Linked DNA regions of Macaca mulatta. The protein of the gene in region 1 interacts with the protein of each later gene in a biochemical or structural test. Links are inferred from orthologs where the notes say so. Each region holds a gene or a part of one and is shown on either strand. Other genes may lie near its edges.

Evidence for each region.
Region 2: of the proteins of KLHL12 (region 1) and DRD4, one has a biochemical effect on the other in vitro, tested with the Homo sapiens proteins (2 studies listed by BioGRID, with this or other methods). The link is inferred for Macaca mulatta from reciprocal best matches to the Homo sapiens genes KLHL12 and DRD4.

What each region holds. Positions count from the first base shown.
Region 1 is NC_133406.1:60,558,275-60,573,789, forward strand, and holds part of KLHL12 (kelch-like protein 12), read right to left. Parts: intron 3,416-15,515; coding exon 3,309-3,415; intron 2,086-3,308; coding exon 1,890-2,085; intron 1,118-1,889; coding exon 959-1,117; intron 648-958; coding exon 549-647; intron 1-548. UniProt on the Homo sapiens protein: Substrate-specific adapter of a BCR (BTB-CUL3-RBX1) E3 ubiquitin ligase complex that acts as a negative regulator of Wnt signaling pathway and ER-Golgi transport.
Region 2 is NC_133419.1:525,782-541,997, reverse strand, and holds DRD4 (D(4) dopamine receptor), read right to left. Parts: upstream 8,125-16,216; 5' UTR 8,120-8,124; coding exon 7,487-8,119; intron 5,262-7,486; coding exon 5,149-5,261; intron 5,041-5,148; coding exon 4,343-5,040; intron 4,248-4,342; coding exon 4,045-4,247; 3' UTR 3,924-4,044; downstream 1-3,923. UniProt on the Homo sapiens protein: Dopamine receptor responsible for neuronal signaling in the mesolimbic system of the brain, an area of the brain that regulates emotion and complex behavior.

The DNA.
Region 1 (15,515 bases):
AGTAACAATTGTTCTCCTTACTTTCATTAACTCAGAGCCCAACCCTTCTAATTAGGAGAAAGGGAGGAAGAGAAAAAAAAGGCAGCAATAAAGGTTGATGGAGGGAAAGGAGTTGTGATTATGCCTCTGAAGCAATTTTTACCCAGAATAAGTAAACCAGAACGGCACAGTGTTTTCTCCTTTTCTACATCCCAGCCTGCTCCACTTCAAAAAGTTCTCGGTGAAGGTAAGTAGCTACTCTTTTGTCCTTATGCATTAGAGACTTTATTTAACATTTATTTAACATGTACTACACAGACAAAATTGTACTAGATATTCTAAAAAGTAGGGAGAGAACAAAGACATGAAGGCTTTTGCTTACAAATGTATAATCTAGTTGTTAAGTATCAACTGTCTTTATCTTCACTAATATTTAGAGAAAACAGAGATAAGGAGGAGAGCAGAATCTCATTTTTACATTAATCTACAGTTTGCCCCATGCACCACCATTATATATGCAAATGTCTGACAGTACCATCTATTGTCCCTTCCCTCAGATCTAGTCTTACCAGAACGCTTGGTGGCCATTGGTGTAACATTAGTCCAATGTCCTGTATGAGGGTCATATTTCTCAACGGAATTTAAGATATTCAAGCCGTCATATCCTCCTGGAAGACAGAGATCATTCCAGAAAGAGTGGTAAATCCTCATGCCCATTTCTGGTCGGTCTTTCTCTGAGTGCTTCAACTAACTATTTTAGTTTCAATTTTCCCCCAAGAGTTCCATAAGAGAAATCTGACAGTACCCTACTTTCTGCTTATAAGAAAAAGATAATCCCAATTAATGGAAAATATATTAACACACACCAGGGTTTTAGTTGAAGGGAAGTCTATGAACTTCATCCTAGTAAAAAGGAATCCTTACTCACAGTCCACTACCCATTGAGTTCTCTCCCATTCCTGCATCCCAGACTCGATACCTAGACAGTAGATCACTCCGCTGGCCACTACGAGTCCGGCACCTTCCCGAGCTGTCTGCATATCTCCCAGCATGCTCCACTGGTCAATGTTTGGATCATACCGCTCCATACTGGTGTGACGCCTGCTTCCGTCAAAGCCCCCAGAGACATAGATCATATCTGCTCAGAATAAACAAATTACAGACTATTAGAGAATGACAGATTTCTAAGAACTCTTTCCTCTACAAATTTTCCAAGGATTCTTTAAAAGTCTGGGAGCAAAAACAAAGTATTTTTTAATGAGATAAGTCAATTAAGTTTTATAGACAAGGAAGACATCCAAAAAGAATGGGGTAAAATAAAATCCTTAAAAGCATTCAAAGACCACCTGGGAGTTTGCAAAAATACAACTAGTGCCAGTTCCCCACCTAGCACGTTGGAACTTGATTTGCCAATTTTGTAGTCAGTACTGAAACATCCATGAATATCGAACAGCTTCTATTACACTGATATTTCTGAAAGCAAAAAGGAATATTTGTCAGCTGGGCACAGTGGCTCACACCTGTAATCCCAGCACCTTGGGAGGCCGAGGCGGGTGAATCACTTGAGCTCAGGAGTAAGACATCAGCCTGGGCAACATGGCGAAACCCTGTCTCTACTAAACATACAAAAAAATAGCTGGGCATGGTGGTGCATGCCTATAGTCCCAGCTACTCAGGAAGCTGAGGTGGGAGGATCGCTTGAGCTTGGGGAGGTTGAGGCTGCAGTGAGCCGTGATCGTGCCACTGCACTCCAGCCTGGGCAACAAAGAGAGACCCTATCTCAAATAATAGTAACATTTGACCTTAATTTTTTCTCCATATTTCATGCTCCTGCCAGACAATAGGAGAGGTTAAAAACCCTGGTCCAGCCACAGTAAGATGGAAATAATTGCCCTACACATCCAGCCTACCTCCCAGGGTGGTGGCTCCAGCAAGACCTCGTCGGACATTCATAGGGGCCACAGAATACCAGACCCCATCCTCATCTGCTGTGTAGTCTAGACATTCCACTGAACTAAGGCGGGAACGGCCATCATAGCCACCAATGACGTAGATCCGGTCATGTAGGGACACTGAGGCCACATAACGTCTCTTACGAGTGATGCTCTATGGATTTGGAGAGAAGAGGTACAGAGCATTTCAGTTAGGCAAGTTTTAGGCCTTACCTTTTGCTATCTTCCCTGTTGCATCTGCACACCTCTATGCTTCTTCACCTGTTATCATGAACCCTCCCTGAGTGGTTCATCCTCAAGTGGCTCCCAAATAGCTATCTACTGAACGAAATGCTTGTGGTGCTCTTAAAGATACAAGCTTTCTGCACATCTGCCTCTTTCCAAGGCTTCCAAAAGATTTAACAGCCTTCTGTTATCCAGTATCTGACTCCTTTCTTTTCCATAAGGCACTGGGCTAAGAGACTGATATCCTTCCATAAAGTGGAAAAGTATTCCCACACTGCTAATCAAAGGGCCAGGATTTATTACAAGAACCTTAAAAGGTAGGAGGGTTGGATTTCCATGTTTTCTTAGAAAGTACTATTGTTCATTCAGCACTGAAAGAGACATGCTGAGGAAGACAGATACAAACTTTTTTTTTTTTTTTTCCTGAGTTGGGATCTCACTGTCACCCAGGCTGGAGTGCAGTGGCACAATCACAGCTCACTGCAACCTCGAACTCCTGGGCTCAAGCAATCCTCTGCCACAGCCTCCCAAATAGCTAAGGACTACAGGCATGCACCACCATGCCTGGCTAATTTTTTTGTTTACTTTTTTGTAGAGACAGAGTCTCACCATATTGCCCAGGCTGGTCTTGAACTCCTGGCCTCAAGGGATCCTCCCATCTCAGCTTCCCAAAGGGCTGGGATTACAGGTGTGAGCTACCACGCCCAGCCCAAACTTAGCTCAACTGAACACTAGGTTCAATTACACACAATTTAACATTCAGTTCAGTTTAACACAGCATGACCAATGAAATGTGCTGGGAATTATACAGACAGCTTGGCAAGGCACCTAACTAGTGGTGGCCATCTGAGTTTACCTTGACACAGGGCCACTGACATTACTAAGGCATAATCTTCTAATCTAAACAGTCAAAAACTGTTTAGTGAGTACCTACTATGTGCACAAGACTGCTGTAAGAAACATGATCCTGTTATTAGGCTTTTCTACTCTTAAGGCTGGATTAGCTACGATCTGGAGCCAGAGACTAAGGACATTTAAGCTCCCTCCCAACGAATGGCTTTTCTACTCCTAAGGCTGGATTAGCTATGATCTGGACCCAGAGACTGAGGACATTTAAGCTCCCTCCCAACGAATGGTTTCACCATTATTTACTGGCAAAAAGCTCCACTCCTGAGTCTTGGGGTCGTATTTCTCTACCACGTCGATGGGAGACTGCTGGCTTCCGAAGCCCCCAACCACCAAAAGCACTTCATTGGCTCCTGAAGACAAAGGCAGAAAAAAGATGGGTTAGTTCAGCATCCCTGGATGGGTAACTAGTCACAGGGAAGTGTCAACAGAAACAGTTCTAGGATGTCTTGTTTTATGTGACTGAGGGATGCAATCTGAAATGGGAGATAATCATAAGGCTGTCGAATGGGGAGTTATTTCTCCTTGAGGCTGTAGCTCTCAAGTCTCTGAAACTTAAATTTCTGGACAACATTAAAACTCTAGAAAGCAAACTTCAACATGACACTGCACCATTTCTTTTTTTTTCTGGAGACAGAGTTTCACTCTTGTTGCCCAAGCTGGAGTGCAATGGCACAATCTCGGCTCACCACAACCTCCACCTCCTGGGCTCAAGTGATTCTCCTGCCTCAGCCTCCCAAGTAGCTGGGATTACAGGCATATGCCACCATGCCTGGCTAATTTTGTATTTTTAGCAGAGATGGGGTTTCTCCACGTTGGTCAGGCTGGTCCTGAACTCCCGACCTCAGGTGATCTGCCAGCCTCAACCTCCCAAAGTGCTGGGATTACAGGCGTGAGCCACCGTGCCCGGCAACACTGCACCATTTCAACCTATTGAGATGACTGGCTGACATAATACTTGAGGTCTTAAGTGCAGGTGAGAGGCTAAAGGCACTCTCTGCACTTCTCAGCCTGAAAAAACCCAAATTGGGAGGGTTTTTTTGTTGTAATAGGGAAAGAACTCTCCTAACCTTGTCACAAAAAAAAGCTGCATGTTGAAACTTAGGATCCAAGTGATGGATTTAAAGTCTCTTTTTCTGAATTGAGAAAGGGTCTCGCTATATTGCCCAGGCTGATCTCAAACTCCTAGCCTGAAGTGATTCTCCTGCCTCAGCCTCCCAAAGTGCTGGGATTACAGGAATGAGCCACTGTGCCTGGCCTAAAATCTCTTTTTCATGAACATTTCCTTCTCCAATGTAGTCAACTATATGATCATATTCCCTGCCAATTCATCAAAACCACAAGGCAACAAAAGACTAGAGTTTTAAAGGAAAAGTCTTTTTCTCTATTTTCCCAAAGAAGCTATTCTGACAGCCTTTATATCTTCCCCTTCCCCTAAGGCCTTACTCTGATAAAATACTTCCTACCCTGGCTCTTGGAGACAGGGTCTTGCTATATTGCCCAGGCTGGTCTCAAACTCCTGGCCTCAAGCGATATTTCTGCCTTGGCCTACCAAGTAGCTGGGGTTACAGGTATGAGCCACAGCACCTGGCTTGGCTTTTTTCAAAGAGCAAAGTCTCTTTGAGAAAATCCCCTGTGCATGTGCTCCATTAGAACTCATGGAGAGAACAGTTAGCTGGAGCTTTGGAAAATTCAATCACTAGGAAGCATCTAGGAGACCAAAGTGATCTTACAAGTAACCTGGACTTGAAAGAGCAAATGTAGTACCTTGAAGCTGACAGGAAACACAGATAAACCCCTAATGAAGTAATGGATTTGACAATTATCATCAATTGCTGGGCTAGAATCATTATTTCAAAAGCTAACATATTACTATGAGACATTGTGTGCTTCCTAATGGTGATGAATAGGAAGGACCACACTACCATCTAATGAGTCTTTTTTCTAAAAAATTGAGGCTGACTCTTAACAACCCTCTAGTCCAACCACTAGTTTACAGGCAATACATAGGAGAAGAACATGTTAAATGACACTATAAAGATGCCAACAGCAGAGTCCAGAATGTGGGAAATTCTACAGGTCGAATAGCTTGTTTTCTTCAAGAAATAAATTGATTAGTAAAAACCAAAACAGGATGGAAACACTTTGTATTAAAAAGAGACTGAAAAGAGACATGAAATCACTAGCAACGTGTGGACTTTGTCTGGCTCCTGATTTGAACAACGTAAGTACTCAAAAACAAACAACAAAAAATTATGGAAAAAAAGTTACACAAACACGTACTTATGACAATAAGGAACTGTGTGATTTTAAACAGTGATAATGGCATTCTAGATGTGTCAAAAATTTTATCCTTTTTAGAGACACACGTGGAAGTATGACACATAGTGATGGAATTATATCCAGTCTGGAATTTGCTTCAAAATAGCCTGGGCACAGTGGCTCACGCCTGTAATCCCAACACTTTGGGAGGCCAAGGCTGCCAGATCACTTGAGGTACGGAGTTCGAGACCAGCCTAGCCAACAAGGCAAAACCCCGTCTCTACTAAAAATACAAAAATTATCTGAGTGTGGTGGTGCACACCTGAAATCTCAACTACTCGGGTGGCTCAGGTACAAGAATGCTTGAACTCGGGAAGTGAAGCTTGTAGTGAGCTGAGATGGCGCCACTACACTCCAGCCTGGGCCACAAGGCGAAACTCCATCTCAAAAAAAAAAAAAGCTATGTGTTGATAATTGTTAAAATTGAGTGATGGGTATGGGGGATCATTGTATCACTGTTTTTATGTTTGAGATTTTTCTTAATAAAACATATACACCCACACATAAACCGTGGAGTTTTTCTAAGAGGACACTTGTCTTATGTACTTGCCAAATAAAGTGGACCCTCTCCAAAGTAAGCCAGCAAGTAGGTCTCAGGAGTCAGCTCCTTCGAAAATGAAAGCATGGCCAGGCGCGGTGGCTCACGCCTATAGTCTCAGCACTTTGGGAGGCTGAAGCAGGTAGATCATCTGAGGTCAGGAGTTCAAGACCAGCCTGGCTAACATGGCGAAACCCCGTCTCTACTAAAAATACAAAAATTAGCCGGGTGCGGTGTGCGCACCTGTAATCTTAGCTGCTTGGGAGGCTGAGGCAGGAGAATCACTTGAACCCAGGAGGCAGAGGTTGCAGTAAGCCGAGATCGCGCCACTGCACTCCAGACTAGGCAATAGAGCAAGACTCCATCTCAAAAAAAAAAAAAAAAAAAAAAAAATTCAAAGCATATGAATGAAGGGTTCTTTAGTGACTGAACTCACTTATGTCTGCCTAAGAGTACTTCAAATTGGGAGAAGCCAGGATCACAAGTTATTTGTTTTTTCTTTGGGAACACTATTCCCCTACATATTCCTTTTTCTTATTCCACCTCTTCTCTTCCTGACTGGAATAGACAAGGTAAGCGTGATCCTTTTATCCAGACACATTTCCCATGTAGATGAGTATGATGCCAGCAGATGATATATGTATGAATAAAAATTCCCACACCAACCAAGAGGTATTTCCTGTGCTATGCAAATTTTAAAGTTTTCTCCTGATTTTTCAGCTCTTATTTCTGTTGCTTTATATGACTCCCTGCCCCACCCTGCCAACCAAAAAAAAAAAAAAAATATATATATATATATATATATATATGTATGAAGAGGTCAGATACAGTGGCTCATGACTATAATCCTAGCACTTCGGGAGGCCAACGTGGGCAGATTTCTTGTGCCCAGGGGTTCAAGGACACTTTGGGTAACATGGTAAGACTCCTATATCTAAAAAAAATAGCCAGGTGTGGTGGCAAATGCCTGTAGTTCCGCTCCTCCTGAGCCTGACATGGGAGGATCACTTAAGCCCAGGAGGTTAAGGCTGCAGTGAGCAAGGTTGTTCCACTGCACTTTAGCCTGGGGAACAGAGTGAGAACTTGTCTCAAAAAATAAAGTAACATAAAATAAAGAAGGCTGGGAGCAGTGGCTCATGCCTGCAATCACAGCATTTTGGGAGGCCGAGGCGGATGGATCACTTGAGGTCAGGAGTTCGAGGCCAGCCTGGCCAACATGGTGAAACCCCGTCTCTATGAAAAATATAAAAATTAGCCAGGTGTGGTGGCACACACCTGTAGTCCCAGCTACTCGGGAGGGTGAGGCACAAGAATCACTTGAACCTGGGAGATGCAGGTTGCAGTGAGCAGAGATTGCACCACTGTACCCCAGCCTGGGTAACACAGCAAGACTCTGTCTAAAAAAACTAAATACAAATACAATACAAAAATTAGCCAGGTGTGGTGGTGTGTGTTTGTAGTCCCAGCTACTCTGGAGGCTGAGGAAGGAGAATCGCTTGAACCTAGGAGGTGGAGGTTGCAGTGAGCTGAGATCACGCCACTGCACTCCAGCCTGGGTGACAAAGCAAGAATGTCTCAAAAATAAAATAAAATAAAATAAAAACCCCTCTCTTTCTTGATATTTCATTCAGGTACCTTTTGAAGGGTGGGAGAAAATAAGTAGAAAGGAAATAGATTATAATAAAAACCCAGAGAACGGACAGTACTTCTTGTTGGCTGAAATTTTCCCAATAAACATTCTGGTAACTATATGTCTACGGTGGAACTTGGTAAGAGGTGTTGGTGTGATTTGCAAAGGAGTTTGTTTTGTTTTGTTTAAAAGACAGGGACTTCCTCTGTCACCTAGGCTGGAGTGTAGTGGCACAATCTCAGCTCACCACAGCATCGACCTTCCAGGCTCAAGCAATCCTCCTACCTCAGCCTCCCGAGTAGCTGGGAGCACAGTGTGTGCTACCAAACCCAGGTATTTTTTTTTTTTAATTTTTTACAGAGAGGAGGTCTCACTATGTTGCTCAGGCTGCTCTCTTAACTCCTGAAGCTCAAGCCATGCTCCTGCTTTGGCCTCCCAAAGTGCTGGGATTACAGACATAGGTTTTATGGCTCTAAATGGCTGGGATCCTTCGATCACTGATTCTCAAACTTCTTTGCTGTGAAGGACTCTCTTCATTGTTTTCCCCTGACAGATCCTGTGTTTTGACAGACTGTCTACCAAAGTGAGTTTAAGTAATTAACTTCCCCAGCAACTGCCAACAGAGCTTCTGATAACTATGAGAGCAACAGTGTTTCACACTGAATGGATACAATGTTAGCTAAATCTGAAGTCTTTATTTTGCCTGTTCAGCTTTTTCTCGCACAAAAATGATTTTCTTTTAGAATATTTAAAAATAACTCAAGGACTAGTATAATCACCATCCCCACTCACATATTACCCCTCCCCGTTAAAAAGACTTGAAAAGTTTTTTCCTTGTGATTATAAAACATATAATATACATTTTTACTGCTAAAAAACTTGGAAAATACAGACAAGTATTATGAAAAAAATTACCCACAGTTCCACAATACAAAGACACACCAAAATATAACATAATTTCCTTCCAGCCTTGTTTCTACACATTTATAAAACACAAATGGGGGCCTGGCACAGTGGCTCGCACCTGTAATCCCAGCACTTTGGGAGGCTGAGGCAGGTGGATCACGAAGCCAGGAGTTTAAGACCAGCCTGGCCAACGTGGTGAAACCCCATCTCTGGTGAAAATACAAAAATTAGCCGGACGTGGTGGCACGTGCCTGTAATCCCAGCTACTCGGGAGGTTGAGGCAGGAGAATTGCTTGAACTCGGGAAACAGAGATTGCAGTGAGCCAAGATTGCACCATTGCACTCCAGCCTGGGTGACAGAACAAGACTCCATCAAAAAACAAAAACAAAAACAAAAAAAATCCAAAAATAAACAAACAAAAAACCCCACAAATGTGACCATATTATATTATATGCTGATGTTTTTCATTTTGCAAATATATGAATAAGTCTTTTAGTACATGGTTATAATATTCTTAGGCATTTCGGGGTTCATAATTTTGGGTTATAAACAATCACATAAATAACCCTGTGATAAATATCCTGAACGTGAAACTTTTCCTAGTTGTTTTCTTAAAGAAATGGGAAGAATGCTGAGTAATGAACATGAATTAGAAAAAAAGTTTTTGAGCCAGGCATGGTGGCTTACACCTGTAACCCTAGCACTTTGGGAGGCCAAAGCAGGCGGATTGCACAAGCCCAGGAGATCAAGACTAGCCTGAGCAGCATGGTAAAACCTGTCTCTACTAAAAATAAAAAAAATTAGCCAGGTCTGGTGGTGCACACCTGTAGTCCCAAGTCCCAGCTACCTGGGAGGCTGAGGTGGGAGGATCACTTGAGCCCAGGAAGTGGATGCTGCAGTGAGCCAAGATCATGCCACTGCACTATAGCGACAGAGTGAGACCTTGTATCAAAACAAACAAACAAACAAAATAGACGACCATGGTGGCACACGCCTGTAGTCCTAGCTACTGAGGAGGCTGAGGTGGGAGGATTGCTTGAGCCCAGGAAGTGGAGTCTCAGTGAGCCAAGATCATGCCACTGCACGCTAGCCTAGGAGGCAGAGTGAGACCCTGTCTCAAAAAAAAAAGAAAAAAAAAATTTTTATATATAAGGTGTCTTTTTGAAATTGTTACCAATTATACCCCCACCAACACTATAAAGGTGCCAACTCATTCTATTTTCTGAGGCACTGGATAGATTTTAAATCTCTGACACTCTGGTAGGCAAAAAATTGTATGTTTAATTCTTTATTACTAAGACCCTATTATTAATTAGGTTGCACTCCCTCCCTTATATCAATAGCCAGCTTTACTTGCCCTTCTGCAAACTGTGCACTCAAATCTATATTGTTTCTCTCATGCATTCTTGTTTATTTTCTTTTTAGATACAAGGTCTTGCTCTGTTGCCCAGGCTGGAGTGCACTGGTGTAATCATGGCTCACTGCAGCCTCAGCCTTGACCTCCTGGCTCAAGCATCCTCCCAGCCTCCCACTTCAGCTTCCCTAGTAGCTGGGACCACTAATTTTTTTCTTTTCTTTTTTTTTTTTTTTTTTTTTTGAGACGGAGTCTCGCTCTGTCGCCCAGGCTGGAGTGCAGTGGCGCGATCTCGGCTCACTGCAAGCTCCGCCTCCCGGGTTCACGCCATTCTCCTGCCTCAGCCTCCCGAGTAGCTGGGACTACAGGCGCCCACAACCGCGCCCGGCTAATTTTTTGTATTTTTAGTAGAGACGGGGTTTCACCGTGGTCTCGATCTCCTGACCTTGTGATCCGCCCGCCTCGGCCTCCCAAAGTGCTGGGATTACAGGCGTGAGCCACCGCGCCCGGCCCCTCTTTTCTTTTCTTTTTTTTGAGACAGAGTCTTACTCTGTGGCCCAGGATGGAGTGCAGTGGTGTGATCTCGGCTCACTGCAACCTCTGTCTCCTGGGCTAAAATGATTCTCCTGCCTCAACCTCCCCAATAGCTAGGATTACAGGCGTGTGTTACCATGCCCGGCTAATTTTTATATTTTTAGTAGAGACAGAGTTTCACCCAGTTGGCCAGGCTGGTCTTGAATTCCTGGGCTCCATCGCCCACCTCAGCCTCTCAAAGTGCTGGGATTACAGGTATGAGCCACTGCTCTTGGCCCTGTCTCATGCATTCTTTACACACAAATGGTTTTAACCCTTTAACGCTTTACTTATTTATCTATTTTTTTTTTGTTGTTGTTGTTGTTGTTGAGACAGAGTCTCGCTTTGTCGCCCAGGCTGGGGTGCATTGGCCAGATCTCAGCTCACTGCAAGCTCCGCCTCCCGGGTTTACGCCATTCTCCTGCCTCAGCCTCCCGAGTAGCTGGGACTACAGGCGCCCGCCACCTCGCCCGGCTAGTTTTTTGTATTTTTTAGTAGAGACAGGGTTTCACCATGTTAGCCAGGATGGTCTCGATCTCCTGACCTCGTGATCCGCCCGTCTCCGCCCCCGGCCTTATCTATCTATTTATGAGATAAGAGTTTTGCTCTTGTTGCCTAGGCTGGAGTGCAATGGCGCGATCTTGGTTCACTGCAATCTCCACCTCCCAGGTTCTAGCGATTCTCCTGAGTAGCTGGGATTACAGGCATGTGCCACTACGCCCAGCTAATTCTGTAGTTTTAGTAGAGACGGGATTTCTCCATTTGGTAAGGCTGGTCTCAAACTCCTGACCTCTGGTGATCTGCCTGCCTCAGCCTCCCAAAGTGCTGGGATTACAGGCGTGAGCCACTCCGCTGGCCAACCCTTTAACCCTTTAAAGGTTGTTCCAAACCTATGTTCCTAATTTGTCATAATTTTGTATATTTTTTTTATTCAAATATGTTTTTATTCTTTGTCATTTCTTCCACTATTTTGTGCCTAGAAAGTCTTTCTCCTCCAGAAGAACTCCTAAGGTTTTAATGTTTTAACCCTAAGTTGGAGACCAATACTTAAACAATCTGACTCGTGTAAAAAAAAGTTAATGAAAGAGTCAATCCAGAAAGAAGCCTGTTTGTTCTCTGCCAATGATGGAGTACTTGTTAAGTGAGATTTTTATCTTTTTAATGAGAAAACCTTGTCTAGGACATCTGACAAGAACAGTGTGAAAAAGCACATTTCTAAAACTGAAGAACCTGGCAGTGGCATGGTCATTATTTTTAGGAGGGGAAGGGGAGTGTGTGTATGCCGTGATACGTTTTAGAGGAATAGGTGCTGTGATACGCTGTTAGAGGAACAGGGCAGATGCAGGACTGCTAAATAACAGGGTTCAGAGACTCACATTTCCATTTGCATTGATCTTTAGTTCAAAAAAGGAGACAGCCACAAATTAGAAAAGCAATTTCCATTATATCTTCTTTGAGACAGTAATGGGTAAGGTTAATAACTAAAAATCCCTTATTTGGCAGACTATTTTTTTTTTTTTTTTTTGAGACGGAGTCTCGCTCTGTCACCCAGGCTGGAGTGCGGTGGCCGGATCTCAGCTCACTGCAAGCTCCGCCTCCCGGGTTCACGCCATTCTCCTGCCTCAGCCTCCCGAGTAGCTGGGACTATAGGCGCCCGCCACCTCGCCCGGCTAGTTTTTTGTATTTTTTAGTAGAGACGGGGTTTCACCGTGTTAGCCAGGATGGTCTCGATCTCCTGACCTCGTGATCCGCCCGTCTTGGCCTCCCAAAGTGCTGGGATTACAGGCGTGAGCCACCGCGCCCGGCCAGGCAGACTATTTTAACTTGGCTGTCAATTTAATTTCCTTCTGCTGTATGCAGAAGAGTCATTATCCTGGTAGCTGGTTTAGCAGCCAATATGATAGAAATCGGTAGAGGACATGATGGTAAGAACAATCTACTTTCTAAGGCAATAACAAAGCGATACTAAGCATCTAATTGGAAACTGCTTCAGCATTTCCCTTCTAGAACTTCTGAAAAATAACCTCAAGACTATGAAGATAGTAGATTCACAGTCTAATCCTTTAACGTCGGGGGAATAAGCAAGTTCTCTAACCAAGCAGAAGCCCCTTTTGCTGCCTGTTCAGAGATACGCAGGAAATGTACCTTCAAAGAATCTTCTGGGTTTACTGATTCACAAAAATTTTCATTAGCTTTTAGTTCAATTTAATAAGCAAATAATGAGTACTATCATGCAAAAAGGAAACATTTTTCTATGTTGGAAAGTACCTTAGTGATTGAACGTTAACTCTCTTGATATAAAGAACTGGAAACCCAGAGAAGTTAAAGGACTTGTCCAACAGCAAGTTACCAGAGTGAGTGACGGACACGGGAGTAAAAATAAAAGTAAGCAAAATGTCTTATCTCCTAGTGCCAGGTTCTTTCCACTACGTCACTGGCTCTCATGGTATAGGTTGAGTAACCCTTATCTGAAATGCTTAGGACAAGAAGTGCTTCAGATTTCAGACATTTTTGGATTTTTGTAATATCTGCATTATTTATTTGCATAACTATTTGCACATCCCTAATTCAGAAACCCCAAATTCAAAACGCTTCATTGAGCATTTCCTTTGAGCATTACGTTGGCACTCAAAAGTTTTAGATTTTGGAGCATTCTGAATTTCAGATTAGGGTTACTCAACCCAAATTTTTTTTTTTTTTTTTTTTTTTTTTTTTTTGAGACAGAGTCTTGCTCTGTCGCTCAGGCAGGAGTGCAGTGGCGTGATCTTGGTTCACTGCAGGCTCTGTCTCCTGGGTTCAGGCCATTCTCCTGTCTTAGCCTCCTGAGTAGCTTGGACTACAGGAGCCCACCACCACGCCCGGCTAATTTTTTTTTTTTTTTTGCATTTTTAGTAGAGACGGGGTTTCACTGTGTTAAGCAGGATGGTCTCGATCTCCTGATCTCGTGATCCACCCGCCTCGGCCTCCCAAAGTGCTGGGATTACAGGCGTGAGCCACCGCACCCGGCCACCCAATCTGATTTTTAAAAATAATAATTATTTTTTAAAAAACAAAAGTAGGCCGGGCGCGGTGGCTCACGCCTGTAATCCCATCCAGCACTTTGGGAGGCCGAGGTGGGCGGATCACGAGGTCAGGAGATTGACACCATCCTGGCTAACAGGGTGAAACCCTGTCTCTACTAAAAACACAAAAAATTAGACGGGTGCTGTGGCGGGCACCTGTAGTCCCAGCTACTCGAGAGGCTGAGGCAGGAGAATGGCGTGAACCCAGGAGGCGGAGCTTGCAGTGAGCCGAGATCGTGCCACTGCACTCCAGCCTGGGTGACACAGTGAGACTCCATCTCAAAAAAAAAAAAAATACAAAAAAATACAAAAAATTAGCCAAGCATGGTGGCACACACCTGTAATTCCAGCTACTTGGGAGGCTGAGGCAGGAGAATCACTTGAACCTAGGAGGCAGAGGTTGCAGTGAGCAAAGATTATGCCACTGCACTCCAGCCTGGGTAACAAGAGCAAAACGCCATCTCAAAAAAAAAAAAAAAAAAGTTCCTACCCTGGGAGGAAAGGGAGAATTGGGAGTTATTGTTTAATGGGTACAGAGTTTCAGTCTCGTTAAGATGAAAAGAGAGATTGATTGTATAACAACGTAAGTGTATTTAACATGATTCAACTGTACATGTAAAAATGGTTAAGATGCTAAATTTTACGCTAAATATATTTAATTTATTTATTTTGAGATGGAGTGCAATGGCACAATCTTGGCTCACTGCAACCTCCGCCTCCCAGGTTCAAGTGAGTCTCCTGCCTCAGCCTCCGAAGTAGCTGGGATTACAGGTGTGTGCCACCATACTCTGCCAATTTTTGTATTTTTAGTACAGATGGGGTTTTGCCATGTTGGCCAGGCTGGTCTCAAACTACTGACCTCAAGTGATCTGCCCACCTTGGCCTCCCAAAGTGCTGAGACACAGTGCCTGGTCTGTTACATATATTTTACAAAAAAGAAAAAAAGACTTCCATCCAGAAGGTATACAAATATTTTCCTATAATTTCTTCTAATATTTTCATAGTTTTTCAACATTCAGTCCTTCAGTCTATCTTGTGTTGATATGTATCTTTGTACGAAGCATATGAAACACAGATCACATTTTGTCATCTTGCAGTAATAGAAAATACCATCAACAATGCCCTTTCTAAAAGTTCTCTTTTTAAAATACAGTATCTTTGAGTGGTAAGATTATAGATGATTTTTATTTATTTTTTGGTTCTCTGTATTTCTAAAGTTCTACATTGAACATACAGTACTTATGCCATTAAAAAATATAGGGGAGCTAGCCATGCATGGTGGCTCATGCCTGTAATCCCAGCACTTTGGGAGGCCGAGGTGGGTGGATCAATTGCAGCCAGGAGTTTGAGACCAATCTGGTCAACATGGAGAAACCCTGTCTCTACTAAAAATACAAAAATTAGCTGGGGATGGTGGCAGTTGCCTGTTGTCCCACCTACTCGGGAGGCTGAGGCACAAGAATTGCTTGAACCTGGGAGAGGTTGTAGTGAGCCAAGATTGCTCCACTGCACTCCAGCCTGGGTGGCAGAGCAAGACTGTCTCAAAAAAAAAAAAAAAAAAAAAAATATATATATATATATATATATATATATATATATATATATATATATATATGGGACAACTGTAATCCCAGCACTTTGGGAGGCCAAAGCAGGTGAACTGTTTGAGTCCAGGAGTTCAAGACCCAGCCTGGGCAACAAAGGAAGGCTCTGTCTCTACAAAAGAATACAAAAATTAGCCAGGCATAGTGGCCGGTGCCTGTGGTCCCAGCTACTTGGGAGGCTAAGGTATGAAGACTGCTTGAGTCCAGGAGGCTAAGGCTGCAGTGAACCGAGATCATGCCACTGCACTCCACCCTGGGCAACATAGTGAGACCCCATTTCTATTAGAAAAAATAAAATATAGGGGATAAATCACCATTCTACCTAAATCCATCAGTGAGCTGCTTAATTATCAACACCTTAGCATGCATGATGAGTCCTCAGTCAGATAAAAGGAAACAATAAAACAAAATACCACCCCATACATATAGAGTAATTCATAACTTATAAAATGCTTTTATACAT
Region 2 (16,216 bases), on another chromosome or scaffold:
AGTGTAAATAAGGTCTCCCTGCCCCACGCGGGCGGCCGGTTTCAGTGCCAGCCCTCAGGGGGGTTTCCTCCCCTTCCTTCTCCTTGTGCAGGTGGGAATCCCAAGCCCACCGCATCTCCAGTCCACAGGGCAGCGCGGCCAGGCCGGAGCCTCCGGTGCACGGGGCAGCACGGCCAGACTGAAGCCCTGGCATCTGGTGGCACCTGTAGTCCAGGAGGTCTTCATTCCTTCTGTTCCACGAGAACCTCGTGGCTGCTGGCAAGTGCAGCAGGCCTGCGGCCCTTCCCGCCAGGTTTCTGTGCACCCGGTACCCTCCTGTGCCCAGGCTTCCTGAGCAAGCCCGATGGCCCAGTGCAGCCTGTTCAGTCCATGTGGACGGCTCGGTGGCCTTGGTCCAGGGATCCACATGCAGAGCCTCATGGCCTCCTGGTCTCCCGCTTGTTTCTCATGGCCCTGGTGCCAGGTGGAGGAAAGAGAAAGGACTGAGGCCTGCATGGGACACAAGGGGGCATGTCCAGTGTGTTTGGGCACTGGGCTGGGCCTGGACATGGGACCCACCTGCCCTCCTGACTGAGAGCTCTGCTGGAGCAGCGTCACTCTTGTTCTGGAAGCTTCTGCGCTCATGGCCTGTGTTCTCTGCACACTGAAGGCTCCACGGCTGTGGCTGCACTGGGGCAAGAAAGTACAGACTCAGCAAAAGCTCAGCAGGCACCTGGGGTGGGCTGGCAGCGCCAGGAGGAACCTGCACCAACGATTCTGATGTTTGCCTCTAAGCGCTTTCTGCACCAGCTGGAGCTCTACGAGAGGCGGCCAGAGTTCCCCTGGAAGAGGTTGTGCATGGGGGCAGGGCTCACTGGCTCTGTGGGCCCTGCAGAGAACCCCCCACCATATTTGAGTCTCTGGGTTTCTCAGGACCACCTGATTTATTCTGGTTTTCTATTTTTTTTTTTCTTTGAGACAGTTTCACCCTGTCACCCAGGCTGGAGTGCAGTGGCACAATCTTGGCTCACTGCAACCTCTGCCTCCCAGGTTCAAGCGATTCTCCTGCCTCAGCCACCTGAGTAGCTGGGATTATAGGTGCTCACCACCATACCCAGCTAGTTTAGGAATTTTTGGTAGAGACAGGGTTTCTTCGTGTTGGCCAGGCTGGTCTCGAACTCCTGTCCTCAGGTGATCCACCCACCTCGACCTCCCAAAGTGCTGGGATTACAGGCGTGAGCCACTGCCCTGGCCTATTTACTTAGTAAAGTCTCCACCCAGCCGGGCCAAGCCCCACTGATGTTTCATCGTCCTGCTTAGACGCACTCGGTGCTGCCCCGTTGGTGCTGCCAGTGAGCAGTGGAGGCTGGAAAAGGTGTCTGGCCTGCTGCAGCACCCACTCCAGATGCTGCCCTCACCCCGCCTGTCCCTCACCCCACCTGTTCCTTCCTCTGACCCTCACCCTGCCTGTCCCTCCTGCCTCTCCCACCGAGATGCTCTCCCTCCTGTCCCTCACCTCACCTTTCCCTTGGTCTGACCCTCGCCCCGCCTGGCCCTTCCTCTGACCCTCGCCCCGCCTGGCCCTTCCTCTGACCCTCGCCCCGCCTGTCCCTTCCTCTGAGACTCTACACTGAGTGGCTTTTCGTCCAACCCAGCAGGGTCCGCCATTGCCACAAGGTGGAGGCATCTTAGAGGCTCTGCTTGGCCTCGGCACTGTCCAGGCAGGTGGGCCGTGGGTTGACCTCCATGAGGCAGCAGGGCTGGGCCTGCTCCTTTGGGTCTTTTTTTTTTTTTTTTTTTTTTGAGACAGAGTCTCGCTCTGCTGCCCAGGCTGGAGTGCAGTGGCGTGATCTTGGCTCACTGCAAGCTCCGCCTCCCGGGTTCACGCCATTCTCCTGCCTCAGCCTCCCGAGTAGCTGGGACTACAGGTGCCCAGAACCGCGCCCGGTTAGTTTTTTTGTATTTTTTAGTAGAGACGGGGTTTCACTGTGTCAGCCAGGATGGTCTCGATCTCCTGACCTCGTGATCCGCCCGTCTCGGCCTCCCAAAGTGCTGGGATTACAGGCTTGAGCCACCGCGCCCGGCCTCCTTTGGGTCTTAACCAACATAAAGGTGGCAGGGAAGTGAGGACCTGCACCTCTAAGAAGAATCCCCCAAAGCTGGAAACACCAGCGTCTCTGTGCAGAGAGCACAGCCGCAGAAGTGGCCAAACCCCCGCCTGGTGGGGAAGGCACCGTGGGAGCCCCTTGGCACCGTGACCCCACCAGCAGTGATGCACCTGGCCGCCTGCAACCAGGCTCTGCAGGAGTGGAGTGGGGGTGTTCCCTGGAATTGTGGGGGCAACTTACTCTTCCCCGATTTTCCGTAAAATGGAAGCCGGAGCACCACACATCTCTTGGGATCCCAGGTTCCCACAGCTCCTCCTTTCCAAGCCTGGGAGGCTGATGGCCAGAGGTCGCCCCGCCCCAGGGCTGTCAGCACCCCCAGGACCCCCAGATGCGTGTGCACCTCCCGTGGCCTCCAGCACTGTCAGTGAGGCATGTGTGGGGCCGTGGGTCCTGGGACAAGGCTGACGGGAGCCCCTCCTTTACTCTCATGGGTGTCCGACAAGAATCCATTGTGACTCAGTCTGTTCCAGGGGCTGGCTGGGACAGGCTGGTCCTGGGAAGTAGGTAGTCGGGGAAGGTGTCCAGGAGGAGGCAGCCGCTGAAGCTGTGACAGAAGTACGTGGTCAGCAGACGGGACGGGGCAGCTGCACTGACGTAATTGGGCTTGGTCGTCTCTCCACCCAGTATTTCTTCTTTTCTTTTTTGAGACAAGGTCTCACCCTGTCACCCAGGCTGGAGTGCAGTGGTGTGATCTCAGCTTACTGCAGCCTTGACCCCCTAGCTTTAAGGGATCCTCCTGTCTCAGCCTCCCGAGTAGCTGGGATTACAGGTGTGACACCACACCCAGCCTGCACTGAGTATTTTAGCTGAGGTTGTACCCACTGCTGTAGACTGCACAGCCCAGTCTCTCAGTGTTCAGATGGGAGCTTGGCACCATGACTGGCCGCCCTGGCTGTAGATGCTGCATCCCCAGCACAGTAAAGCTCCAGCCAGCAGGACTGGGAGGCGGAGGGCCTCCCATTTCTCCCACAGCCTGGGCCTGGGAGAGAGCTGGATCCAGTCCAGGGTGGGCTGTTAACTGCACTGAGGGCCCTGGGAGCCACCCCTCCTCCCCCAGGGTCAGGGGCTGTACTATGGTTGACAAAGCCAGGCAGCCCAGGGCAGACAGGCAGCCTGGGTCGCTCTGCCCACCCTCTGACCCTGCTGCCTCCTCCCTACTCCTACCCCTTGGCCCAGCCACATGGGTGGATGCTGGGCAGAGGCTGGCTGGGTGACTGAGCATGGAGCTCCCTCCAGGGAAGCCTCTTGGTGGGACCCCACCTATCACCACAGGCCCCTTCCTGTGGGGCTTGGGGCATCCTCTGGCCAGGGACTGGCAGGAAGCTGTGCTCTGACCTCAAGGCAGCTTCTAAAATGATATATCAGGCTCCCCCGCCTGGGTCTGCTGGGACAGCAGAGCCAGGAGACCCTGTGCTTCGTCCTCGGAGGCGGGAGTTGGCCTGGGCAGGGCCTGGCGGCTGACCGCCCCCCCAGCCCCTCTCGCCTCATTCATTTCTTCCCATTGGAACTGGGCTTCCCCAGGAGACACCTTGCTCTGCTCGGTGCCATTTCCTCTCCCCTGCAGAGAGGGTAGGCTGGGCCAGAGCACTGCCGAACTGAGTGGGTCTCCAGGGGCCCCTTCCCCCGCTCACTCTGAGCAGGGGGCCGGCTTGGTGGGGTCTGCTCTGTGGGCTTCCTTGGCGGGAAGGAAGGGGTTAACTGGCTGGGCGGCCTGGGGCCACTGGGGCAGAAGCCCTTCCTCCTCCCTTCCCCATCAACCCCAGGAGCCTTCACAGCTGAGTTTGGGAAGGAATTTGTTTAATTAACGTACAAAACCGCCCTCCCCATATCCTTGGTCCCGGAGGCCTGGCCACCAGGCCGGTGCCCAGGCCGCGGGGGGTGGGGGTGGGGGTCCGGCTCAGCAGCAGGCACGCAGGGCCTTGCGGAAGACATTGCGGAACTCGGCGTTGAAGACAGTGTAGATGACGGGGTTGAGGGCGCTGTTGACGTAGCCCAGCCAGGTGACCGCACTAACCAGCCGCGGGGGCACGGAGCAGGCAGGACACAGCGCCTGTGTGATGTGCACCACGAAGAAGGGCGTCCAGCACAGCAGGAAGGCCCCTGGGGGCGCCGAGAGCCACGTCAGCGCCCCCTGCCCCTCCGCGCCTCGTACTCCTCCCCTCCTCTCTACCCAGCCCCCCAGGGCAGGAACGCACCGACTACCACAGGCAGGACCCTCATGGCCTTGCGCTCCCGGCCGGTGATCTTGGCACGCCGCCTCCTGCGGGTCTGCGGTGGGGTCTGGGGTGGGAGCGCAGCGGCTCGGACGGCGTCTGGGGGCGCACAGTTGGAGTCGCAGGAGTCCGGGGGGAGGCCGGGCACGGGGGGCGCACAGTTGGGGCCGCGGAGACCCTGGGGAAGGCCGGGCGCTGGGGGCGCACGGTCGGGGCCGCAGGGACCCTGGGGAGGGCCGGGCGCGGGGGGCGCGCAGTCGGGGCCGCAGGGGTCCTGGGGGAGGCGGGGCGCCGGGGGCGCACAGTCAGGGCCGCAGGGGTCCTGGGGAAGGCGGGGCACAAGGGAAGGAGGGCCGGGGCCGCTGGGTCGGCGGGGCGCGCGGCCGTGCAGCTTGGCGCGACGGGCCACCTCCCAGCGCCGCAGGCCGCGGAACGTGGCCCAGTAGAGCAGCAGCATGAGCGGACAGGGTAGGAAGAAGGAGCACACGGACGAGTAGACCACGTAGTCGCGGTCCTCCAGGCGGCACACGGCGGGGTCACGGCCGCGCACGTCGTTGAGGCCGCACAGCACGGGCGCCGCCACCGCTGCGGACAGCAGCCACGTGGCGCCGATGAGCAGCAGCTGCCGGTGGCTCCCGCCCTGGCGGTTGTAGCGCAGCGGCACGGCCACGGCCACGAACCTGCGGGGAGCGCCGAGGGTGCGCGGGACAGCGCGGAGGCCGCGGTGAGGGCGGCGGCGGCGGGAGGGGCGCGAGGGCGCGGGGGCGCGGGCGGGGAGGGCGGCGCACCTGTCCACGCTGATGGCGCACAGGTTGAAGATAGAGGCGGTGCACAGCATGACGTCCATGGCCATGAGGGCGTCGCACAGGCGGGGGCTCAGCAGCCACGCGCCACCCTGGACCTGCGCGGCGACACCACAGGCCCTGAGGTTTCCCAGCCACCGCGGGCCCTTGTGACCCCCTCTCTTATGGGTAGTTCCAGGGCTGAATATGGAGGAGGGGGCCCGCTGTGAACCAGAGGCCAGAGGAGCAGGCAGAGAAACAACCCCTCTGCACTCAGGTCTCCCTTTGTTTTCAGTTAGGGTCTCGCTCTGTCACCCAGGCTGGAGTGCGGTGGCTCCATCATGGCTCACCGTAGCCTGGAACTCCTGGGCTCAAGCGATCCTCCCACCTCAGTCTCCAGAGTAGCTGGGACTACAGCCGCGCGCCACCACCCCCCAACTGATTTATTTATTTTTTATTTTTGTTTTTCTTTTTGTTTGTTTTTTTGAGACGGAGTTGCACTCTTGTTGCCCAGGCTGGAGTGCAGTGATGCGATCTCAGCTCACTGCAACCTCCGCCTCCCGGGTTTAAGCGATACTCCTGCCTCAGTTCCCCCGAATAGCTGGGACAGCAGCCGCATGCCACCATCCCAGGCTGATATTTTCATTTTTTTTTTTTTTTTTTTTCTGAGAGGGAGTCTCGCTCAGTGGCGCAGGCTGGAGTGCCCTGGGACGATCTCGGCTCACTGCAAGCTTCGCCTCCTGGGTTCCCGCCATTCTCCTGCCTCAGCCTCCCAAGTAGCTGGGACTACAGGCGCCCGCCGCCACACCCGGCTAATTTTTTGCATTTTTAGTAGAGACGGGGTTTCGCTGTGTCAACCAGGATGGTCTCGATCTCCTGACCTCGTGGTCCGCCCTCCTCGGCCTCCCAAAGTGCTGGGATTACAGGCGTGAGCCACCGCGCCCGGCCGATATTTTAATTTTTTGTAGAGACCCGGCCCGGTATGTTTCCCAGGCTGGTCTCAAACTCCTGGGTTCAAGCGATCCTCCTGCCTTGGCCTCCCAAAGTTCTGGGATTACAGGTGTGAGCCACCACTCCTGACCTTGGTCTCCCTTTTGTTACAAACATGAGAACGGGCCTGGGGAATTCCCTGGGGGCGGGGCCTGATGTCATCGGGCTCAAGGAGAGCCCCTCCCCAGCCTGGGGTAGGCAGGGTCCCCGCTGGGCCTAGACATGAAGCTGGCTGCTCTGTCCTTCAGGGCATGAGCCAGCCTGTCTGGTGAAGCTCTCTGTGGGAGACTCGGGCGCATTAATTCATTTGTTTCCTCATCTGTAAGACGAGGATGATGATAGTATCCACATAATTGTCTTGAAGATAAATTATAATTAAAAATATGAAGACCTGCCCAGTGCCCAGCGTAGGAGTCCACGTGGAGTGACTCTCTTCAAGGGCAAAGGAGCAGGCAGCCCCCTTAATCCCTTCCCGCCGATTTGGGAAGATTAGGAGCTTAAACGTCGTCACTGTGACGTCTGCGGCTCGAAAGGAGCACAGGTCATGCGTGTCCCGTGCTGCTGGTCTCTGCCCCAGCCGCCAGGACTCACCGTGTCTACCAAGGGGAAACCCCGAGTCCCCCCTCCTCCACAGTCCGGGACACCGCGTCCCCAGCTCAGCCTTAAGCTGCTTTTCTCTGGCTGCAGAGGGGCTGGCACCAAGTCCAACCCATCCGAGGGCCAGATCTGGTGTGGAGTGTGGGATCCATCCCCCAATTCCCCCTCGGGCTTCTCCCCAGGGTTCTCAGCAGGGGCCTGGCCCCCACACACCCTCCCCTGGGTTCTGTCCAGCCCAGGTCTCCCCTGTGAGCTGTGAGCCTCCTGGGGGTGAGCCAGCATCCGCACTGGGTGTGCGTGGTGGTCTGTGGCTGTGGCCGTGTGCAGTGCGTGTGTGCAGTGCGTGTGTGTGTGTCCCAGGGCAGCCAGGGGGCCGAGTCCGCATCTGCCTGCCTGTCCAGCTGGTTGCCCTGGGGGTGAAATCCAGCTGCCGGGCGGCGGGAGGGGGCTGGCTTCACAAAGTCGCCTATTTCTGGGGTCCCTAGATCGAAGGACGGGCATCTCCTGGATAGCAGACGCCAAGACAGAAGGGGAAGGGAGGAGAGGAACGGGGGTCGGGGGACAGCGCAGCGGGGGGAAGGTCGCGAGGTGGCGGCGGTGGGTGTAGCGCGGAGGGACCAGGCGCAGCGCCCCTGCCGCCGCCCCAGCTGGAGGCTCCGGAGCAGAAAGGGGCCGGGTCGCGCCGGGTCCTCCGCAGGGACAGGGACGGAGAACCGAGGAGCAGATGAAGATGCTCGTGCGGCCAGACGGGGCTCACCTCGGAGTAGACGAAGAGCGGCAGCACCAGGAGAGCGAGGAGGAGGTCGGCGGCCGCCAGGCTCACGATGAAGGAGTTGGTGGGCGTCTGCAGGGCGCGCTCGGTGGCCACGCTCACGCACACGAGCGAGTTCCCCGCGAGCACCGCGCCGATGAGCAGCACGCCTCCAACCAGCGCCGCCGCGCCCGGCCCTGCCAGCCCCGCAGCCGCCCCCGCGCCCGGCCCGCGTCCGGCCAGCAGCCCGTCCGGGTCCGCGGTGCTGCGGTTCCCCATGGCGCGCCGGCCCCAGGCGCCCGGGCGGGCGCTGAGCACCGCGGACAGCGCCGGGCCGCAAACCGGGGAGTCACTCCCCTTGGGCACGCCCCGGCCAGACTCTGGTCCCGCCCCCGCCCCGCCCCGGCTCAGGGGGGCCCCCGCGGCGCTCCACCGTGCGCCCAGTATTTGCTCATCTTGGAATTTTGCGCAGGGAGAGACGGGCAGGCGGACGAATGCGGCGGCCCAAAGAGACGGGAATGAAGCGAGGTGGTGGCCATGGGCAGGCCCAGCATCGCCTGGTGCGGCGCGGGGTCCGCACCCCGAGAAACCAACAAGGATGGAGGGGCAGCCAGACCAAGCCCTGAAGCGCGCGGGCATCGACGCCAGAGCCATCCTGCCCGGCCCCTGCGTGCGTCCCGGCCCTCGGGCCGTCCACCTAGTGCACCTGGTGTCTGGGAAAACGTCCCTCCCAGGCCCGTTCCGCCAGTCGCGGGAAGACCGGAGCTTAGGCTCTGCCCGCCTCCCGGGGGACTCGCCTCGACCTCGCGCGCACCCTCCTGCCCGCGACTCCGCGCCCGACCCAACCGCCGACGCCTGGCTCGTACCCCCGCTCCCCAGCAGCCTCTGGTCCTCAGCCCCCGCGACCACCACAGTCAGCCGCGGCCCCACCCATTGCACAGTTGGTCCTCCCGTGGCCGCCTCCGATAGTGGGCCGGCACCTCCCCCCGACCCTCCACCCCCGGGCGGACAGCTGAGCGGTCGACCCTGCTCCCTCCTCCAGTCCCTCCGGCCCAAGACCCTGAGCTAGGTAGGCGTCCCTCTGACCCTGGGCAGGGGGTCCGGGGACCGGACAGTAGGTTCAGCCCGCGAGGAGGCAATGAGAAAGACAAGACAGGCCCTGGCAGGTTCCAAACGTGCAGAAGAGAAAGTGCTTGCAAAGTGCAGCAGAGACAATTCTATGGACTCTTCATCAAATCGGGGTGACCCATGACCTGAGGGGTATTTTCTGTAGTCCTGTCACTAAAGGGGCCTAGAAGGCACTAAAAGGAGGCACCACTCTGTGGGACCCTGGGCGATGCACATCTTGCTCTTGTCTTTGTTTCTGGGAGGACTGGAGTGGAGGGGCCGTGCCAGGAATTGAGGCCCCTGACCTCAAACGTATGGAGGACACGGGCTGGACGAGGTGCTGATGGGGTGTGCATTAAAGGGAGAAACGAGGGCTCTGAGAAGGAGCAGGCACCGTGAGCATCACAAGGCAAGGTCCTGGGGTCTGTAGGGGAAAGGCCTGCACCAGGGTCAGGTGTCCACAGACATCAGGTGCAGCCGCAGCCAGGCTAAGTCCCTCTTGTGCAGACCAGACTCCTGCCCGTGAACCCTTGTGCAAAAGAAGTCACCACAGAAGAGGCTGGGACAGTGCAAGTGTCTTCTCTTCTAGGATGGAACCCGGGAGGGTGGCCCTGGGGTCTCCGGCTGGGTGCCCAACGGTGAGTCCAGCCCAGCCTCTGGTCAGCTTAGAATTCCTTCAAGTGGCCCCCAAGATGTCTGCGACCACCAAGAGTGAAAACAAAGCCAGGCGGAGAAAGGATGTTTGCAGTACACATCTCTGGTACAGAATGCAGATCCAGAATATATAAAGAGTGCTTTTAAAACAATGAGAAAAGACAGACAATTCCAGTTTTTTTCTTTTTTTTTTTTTTTGAGACGGAGTCTCGCTCTGTCGCCCAGGCTGGAGTGCAGTGGCCGGATCTCAGCTCACTGCAAGCTCCGCCTCCTGGGTTCACGCCATTCTCTGGCCTCAGCCTCCCGAGTAGCTGGGACTACAGGCGCCCGCCACCTCGCCCGGCTAGTTTTTTGTATTTTTTAGTAGAGACGGGGTTTCACCGTGTTAGCCAGGATGGTTTCGATCTCCTGACCTCGTGATCCGCCCGTCTCGGCCTCCCAAAGTGCTGGGATTACAGGCTTGAGCCACGGCGCCCGGCCTTTTTTTCTTTTTTTTTTTTTTGACATAGAGTTTCTCACTCTTGTTGCCCAGGCTGGAATGCAGTGGCACAATCTTGGCTCACTGTGACCTCTGTCTCCCAGGTTCAAGCAATTCTCCTGTCTCAGCCTCCCAAGTAGCTGGGATTACAGGTGCCTGCCGCCACACCTGGCTAACTTTTTTGTATTTTTAGTAGAGACGGGGTTTCATCATGTTGGCCAGGCTGGTCTCGAACTCCTGACCTCAGGTGATCCACCTGCCTTGGCTTCCTAACGTGCTGGGATTACAGGAATGAGCCACTGCCCCCAGCCTATACTATATACTTCCGTTGTTTATCTGAAAATCAAATGTAACTGGATGTGATCGCATCTCACTGCAATCATGGCTCACTGCAGCCTCAATCTCCTGGGCTCAAGTGATCCTCCGGCTCCAGCCGGAGACCACAGATGCGTAGTGCCACACCCAGCTAATTTTCTCATTTTTTGTAGAGACGGGGTCTCGCCATGTTAGCCCAGCTGATCTCAAACTCCTGGGCTCAAATGATCCTCCCACCTCAGCCTCCCAAAGTGCTACGATTACAGGCATGAGTCACACACCCAGCCTAAACAATTTTTAATAAGGACCTCCACTCATACCTTACACATTAAAAAATTAACTCAAATATGCTGTCAAGAGAATCAAAAGACACAGACTGGGAAATGATATTTGCAAATGGCCACGTCCGGCAATGTTTTTTTTTCCATTTTAGTGTAGTAGGACGTCGTTGATTTTCCTGATGGCTACTCACGTTTGACCACTTCGCATGTGCCTGTTAACTGTCAGTGTGCCCTCTTCTGGAACGTGCCTGTTAAAAATCTTTGCTTTTGTTAAAAATTGGGTTGTCTACGCCAGGCGCAGTGGCTCACTCCTGTAATCCCAGCACTTTGGGAGGCCGAGCCGGGTGGATCACCTGAGGTCAGGAGTTCAAGACCAGCTTGGCTGGCCGGGCGCAGTGGCTCACGCCTGTAATCCCAGCACTTTGGGAGGCCGAGGCGGGCGGATCACGAGGTCAGGAGATCGAGACCATCCTGGCTAACACGGTGAAACCCCGTCTCTACTAAAAAATACAAAAAACTAGCCGGGCGAGGTGGCGGGCGCCTATAGTCCCAGCTACTTGGGAGGCTGAGGCAGGAGAATGGCGTGAACCCGGGAGGCGGAGCTTGCAGTGAGCCGAGATCCAGCCACTGCACTCCAGCCTGGGTGACAGAGCGAGACTCCGTCTCAAAAAAAAAAAAAAAAAAAAAAAAAAAAAAAAAAAGACCAGCTTGGCCAATATGGTGAAACCCCATCTGTACTAAAAATACAAAAAATTAGCTGGGTGTGGTGGTGCGTGCCTGTAATCCCAGCTGCTTGGCAGGCTGAGGAAGGAGAGTTGCTTGAACCCAGGAGGCAGAGGTTGCGGTGAGCAGAGATCACGTCATTGCACTCTGGCCTGGGCAACAGAGCAAGACTCTGTCTCAATAAATAAATATAAAAAAATAGAAACAAAAATTTTAAAAATTAGCAAATCATATATCCAGCAAATAGCTTGCATACAAAAAATATTAATAATTCTCAAAACTCAACATTAATGACATCACAAAAAGAAAATTCCAGATGAGTATCCTTTATGAATATAGATGCAAACGTTCTTGGCAAAATATGAGCAAACACAATCCCTTTTAAAGTGCTGCCCGTCAGAGAAGCAGCATTTTTTTTTTTTTTTTTTTTTGAGACGGAGTCTCGCTCTGTCACCCAGGCTGGAGTGCAGTGGTACAATCTCAGCCCACCACAACCTTCGCCTTCCGGGTTCAAGCAATTCTCCTGCCTCAGCCTCCCAAGTAACTGGGATTAGAGGTGTGCACCACCACACCCAGCTAATTTTTGTATTTTTAGTAGAGACAGGGTTTCATCATGTTGGCCAGGCTGGTCTCAAACTCCTGACCTCATGATCCGCCCACCTCGGCCTCCCAAAGTGCTGGGATTACAGGCATGAGCCATCGCGCCCGGCTGAAAAGCAGCATTTTTTAAAGGATTATGTACCATAACCCAGTGGGATTTATCCCAGGAATGCAAGGGTGAGTGAACAGACGAAATTCAATGTCATACACCAGATTAACAGAATTAAGAAAAACCCACGCAATCATCTCAATTGATGCAGAAAAAAAATTTCATAAAATTCAAAATCCTTTCATGATAATAAGACTCAATAAACTAGGAGCAGAAACAACTTCATCAGGCCAGGCACGGTGACTCAGCCTGTAATCCCAGCACTTTGGAAGGCCAAGGAGGGTGGATCACTTGAGGTCAGGAGTTCAAGACCAGACTGCCCAACATGTTGAAACCCCACCTCCACTAAAAATACAAAAATTAAAATTAGCTGGGCATGGTGGCGCACGCCAGCTTCTCAGGAGACTGAGACACGAGAATTACGTGAATCCAGGAGGTGGAGGCTGCAGTGAGACGAGATCGCACCACTGCACTCCCCCCGAACAACAGAGGGAGACTGTGTCAAAAAACAAACAAACAAAAAACAAACACAGCTAACATCATACTCATTGGTGAGAAACTAAAAGCCTTTTAAAGAGACGAGGATACCCACTGCTGCTGCTTCTGTTCAACATTGTTCTGGATGTTCTAGCCAGAGCATTAATCAAGAAAAAGAAATTAGGCCGGGCGCAGTGGCTCAAGCCTGTAATCCCAGCACTTTGGGAGGCCGAGACGGGTGGATCACGAGGTCAGGAGATCGAGACCATCCTGGCTAACACGGTGAAACCCTGTCTCTACTAAAAAAATACAAAAAACTAGCCGGGTAAGTTGGCGGGCGCCTGTAGTCCCAGCTACTCGGGAGGCTGAGGCAGGAGAATGGCGTAAACCCGGGAGGCGGAGCTTGCAGTGAGCTGAGATCCGGCTACTGCACTCCAGCCCGGGCAACAGAGCGAGACTCCGTCTCAAAAAAAAAAAAAAAAAAAAGAAATTAAAGGTATCCAAAATTGGAAAAGAAAACTATTGCACATGACATGGTCTTACGTATAGAAGATCCTCAAAAAACAGGCCAGGCTCGGTGGCTCACACCTGTAATCCCAGCACTTTGGGAGGCTGAAGCGGGCGGATCACGAGGTCAGGAGATCGAGACCATCCTGGCTAACACAATGAAACCCCATCTCTACTAAAAATAGAAAAAATTAGCCGGGCGTGGTGGTGGGCACCTGTAGTCCCAGCTGCTCAGGAGGCTGAGGCAGGAGAATGGTGTGAACCCGGGAGGTGGACCTTGCAGTGAGCCAAAATCAATTGCGCCACTAGGTGACAGAGCAAGACTCCGTCTCAAAAAAAAAGAAAGAAAGAAAGAAACCCCGTCTCTACTAAATATACAAACATTAGCTGGGTGTGGTGGCATGAGCCTATAATTACAGCTACTTGGGAGTCTGAGGTGGGAGGGTCATTTGAGTCCAGGCGGTTGAGGCCACAGAGAGCTGTGATTGAGCCAATGTACTCCAGGCTGCCCCAAAATAAAATAAATAATGAACATGGGTAAAGGACTTGAACAGACATTTCTTCAAAGAAGATACACAGGCCGGGCGCGGTGGCTCAAGCCTGTAATCCCAGCACTTTGGGAGGCCGAGACGGGTGGATCACGAGGTCAGGAGATCGAGACCATCCTGGCTAACACGGTGAAACCCCGTCTCTACTTAAAAAAATACAAAAAAAAATTAGCCGGGCGAGGTGGCGGGCACCTGTAGTCCCAGCTACTCGGGAGGCTGCGGCAGGAGAACGGCGTGAACCCGGGAGGCGGAGCTTGCAGTGAGCCGAGAGGTCGCGCCACTGCACTCCAGCCTGGGCGACAGAGCGAGACTCCGTCTCAAAAAAAAAAAAAAAAAAAAAGAAGATACACAAATGGCCGGTGCAGTGGCTCATGCCTGTAATCCCAGCACTTTGGGATGCCAAGGCAGGCAGATCCCTTGAGTTCAGGAGTTCAAGAACAGTCTGGCCAACATGGTAAAACCCCATCTCTACCACAAATACAAAAATCAGCCGGGTGTGCTGGTGGGTGCCCATAATCCCAGCTACTTGGGAGGCGGAGGTGGGAGAATCACTTGAACCGGGGAGGCAAAGGTTGCAGTGAGCCAAGATCGCACCATTGCACTCCAGCCTGGGCAACAGTGCGAGACTCCATCTTAAAAAAAATATGGCCAGGCACGGTGGGTCACGCCTGTAATCCCAGCACTTTGGGAGGCTGAGGTGAGCAGATCATGAGGTCAGGAGATCGAGACCATCCTGCCTAACATGGTGAAACCCCATCTCTACTAAAAATACAAAACACGGCCGGGCGCGGTGGCTCAAGCCTGTAATCCCAGCACTTTGGGAGGCCGAGACGGGCGGATCACGAGGTCAGGAGATCAAGACCATCCTGACTAACACGGTGAAACCCCGTCTCTACTAAAAAAAAAAAAAAACAAAACAAAAATCTAGCCAGGCGAGGTGGCGGGCGCCTGTAGTTCCAGCTACTCGGTAGGCTGAGGCAGGAGAATGGCGTAAACCCAGGAGGTGGAGCTTGAAGTGAGCTGAGATCCGGCCACTGCACTCCAGCCTGGGTAACAGAGCGAGACTCCGTCTCAAAAAACAAAACAAAACAAAACAAAACACTTAGCCAGGCATGGTGGCATGTGCATGTAATCCCAGCTACTTAGGAGGCTGAAGCAGGAGAATCGCCTGAAACTGGGAGGCAGAGGTTGCAGTGAGCCGAGATCGCGCCACTGCACTCCAGTCTGGGTGACAGAGCAAGACTCCGTCTCCAAAACAAACAAACAAATAATATATATACACACAAAAAAAAAAATGGCCATGAAGCACTTGAAAAGATGCTCAACCTCATTAGTCACTGGGGAAATGCAAATCAAAACCACAGTAAGATACCATTCCATATCCATTAGGATGGCCATGATAATAAATAAATAAAAATAGCAAGTGTTAAGGATGAGGAGAAATTCACTGCTGTTGGGAATGTAAAACAGTCACTGTTAGAAAAAGTCCAGCAGTTCCTCAACAAGTTCCACACAGAGTTACCATATGACTCCATGGATATGTTATATACCCAAAAGAAGTGAAAACAGGTGTTCAAATAACAGCTTGTATGTAAATGTTCACAGCAGCACTATTCACAATATACAAAAGACGCCAGGCATGGTGGCTCATGCCTATTCGAGACCAGCCTGGCCAATATGGTGAAACCCCATCTCTACTGAAAATACAAAGTACTGGCTGGGCATGGCGGCTCATGCCTATAATCCCAGCACTTTGGGAGACTGAGGTGGGCAGACTGCTGGAGGCCAGGAGTTCGAGACCAGCCTGGCCAATATGGTGAAACCCCATCTCTACTGAAAATACACAAAGTCCCGGCCGAGCATGGTGGCTCACGCCTATAATCCCAGCACTTTGGGAGGCTGAGGCGGGTGGATCACCTGAGGCCCTGAGTTGGAGACCAACCTGGCCAACACGGTTAAACCCCGTCTCTACTAAAAATACAAAAATTAGCCGGGCGCGGTGGCTCAAGCCTGTAATCCCAGCACTTTGGGAGGCCGAGACGGGTGGATCACGAGGTCAGGAGATCGAGACCATCCTGGCTAACACGGTGAAACCCTGTCTCTACTAAAAAATACAAAAAACTAGCCGGGCGCGGTGGTGGGCGCCTGTAGTCCCAACTACTCAGGAGGCTGAGGCAGGAGAATGGCGTGAACCCGGGAGGCGGAGCTTGCAGTGAGCTGAGATCCGGCCACTGCACTCCAGCCTGGGCGGCAGAGCCAGACTCCGTCTCAAAAAAAAAAAAAATACAAAAATTAGCTAGGCATGGCAGGTGCCTGTATTCAAGGAGAATAGCTTGAACCCAGGAGGCAGAGGTTGCAGTGAGCTGAGATCAGGTCAGTGCACTCCAGCCTGGGTGACAGAGTGAGATTCCATCTCAAAAATAAATAAATAAATAAATAAATAAATAAATAAATAAATAAATAAATATTTTTTAAAATGCAAAATTTAGGGGGGTGTGGTGGTGCATGCCTGTAGTCCCAGCTACTTAGGAAGCTGAGGCAGGGGAATCAAACCCGGGAGGTGGAGGTTGCAGTGAGCTGAGACTGTACACTGCACTCCAGCCTGGGCAACAGAGCGAGACTCCGTCTCAAACAAACAAACAAACAAACAAACACACACAATATATACAAGGTAGAAATAAACCAAGTGTCCTCAGCAGGTGCATGGATGAACCAAATGCAGTGTGATTTTGCCATTAAAATGAATGAAACTCTGGGGCCAAGCGTGGTGGCTTATGCGTGTCATCCCAGCACTTTGGGAGGCCGAGGCGGGCGGATCACCTGAGGGCAGGAGTTTGAGACCAGCCTGACCAACATGGCGAAACCCCGCCTCTATGAAAAATACAAAATTAGCTGGGTGTGGTGGCACATGCCTATAATCCCAGCAACTCCAGAGGC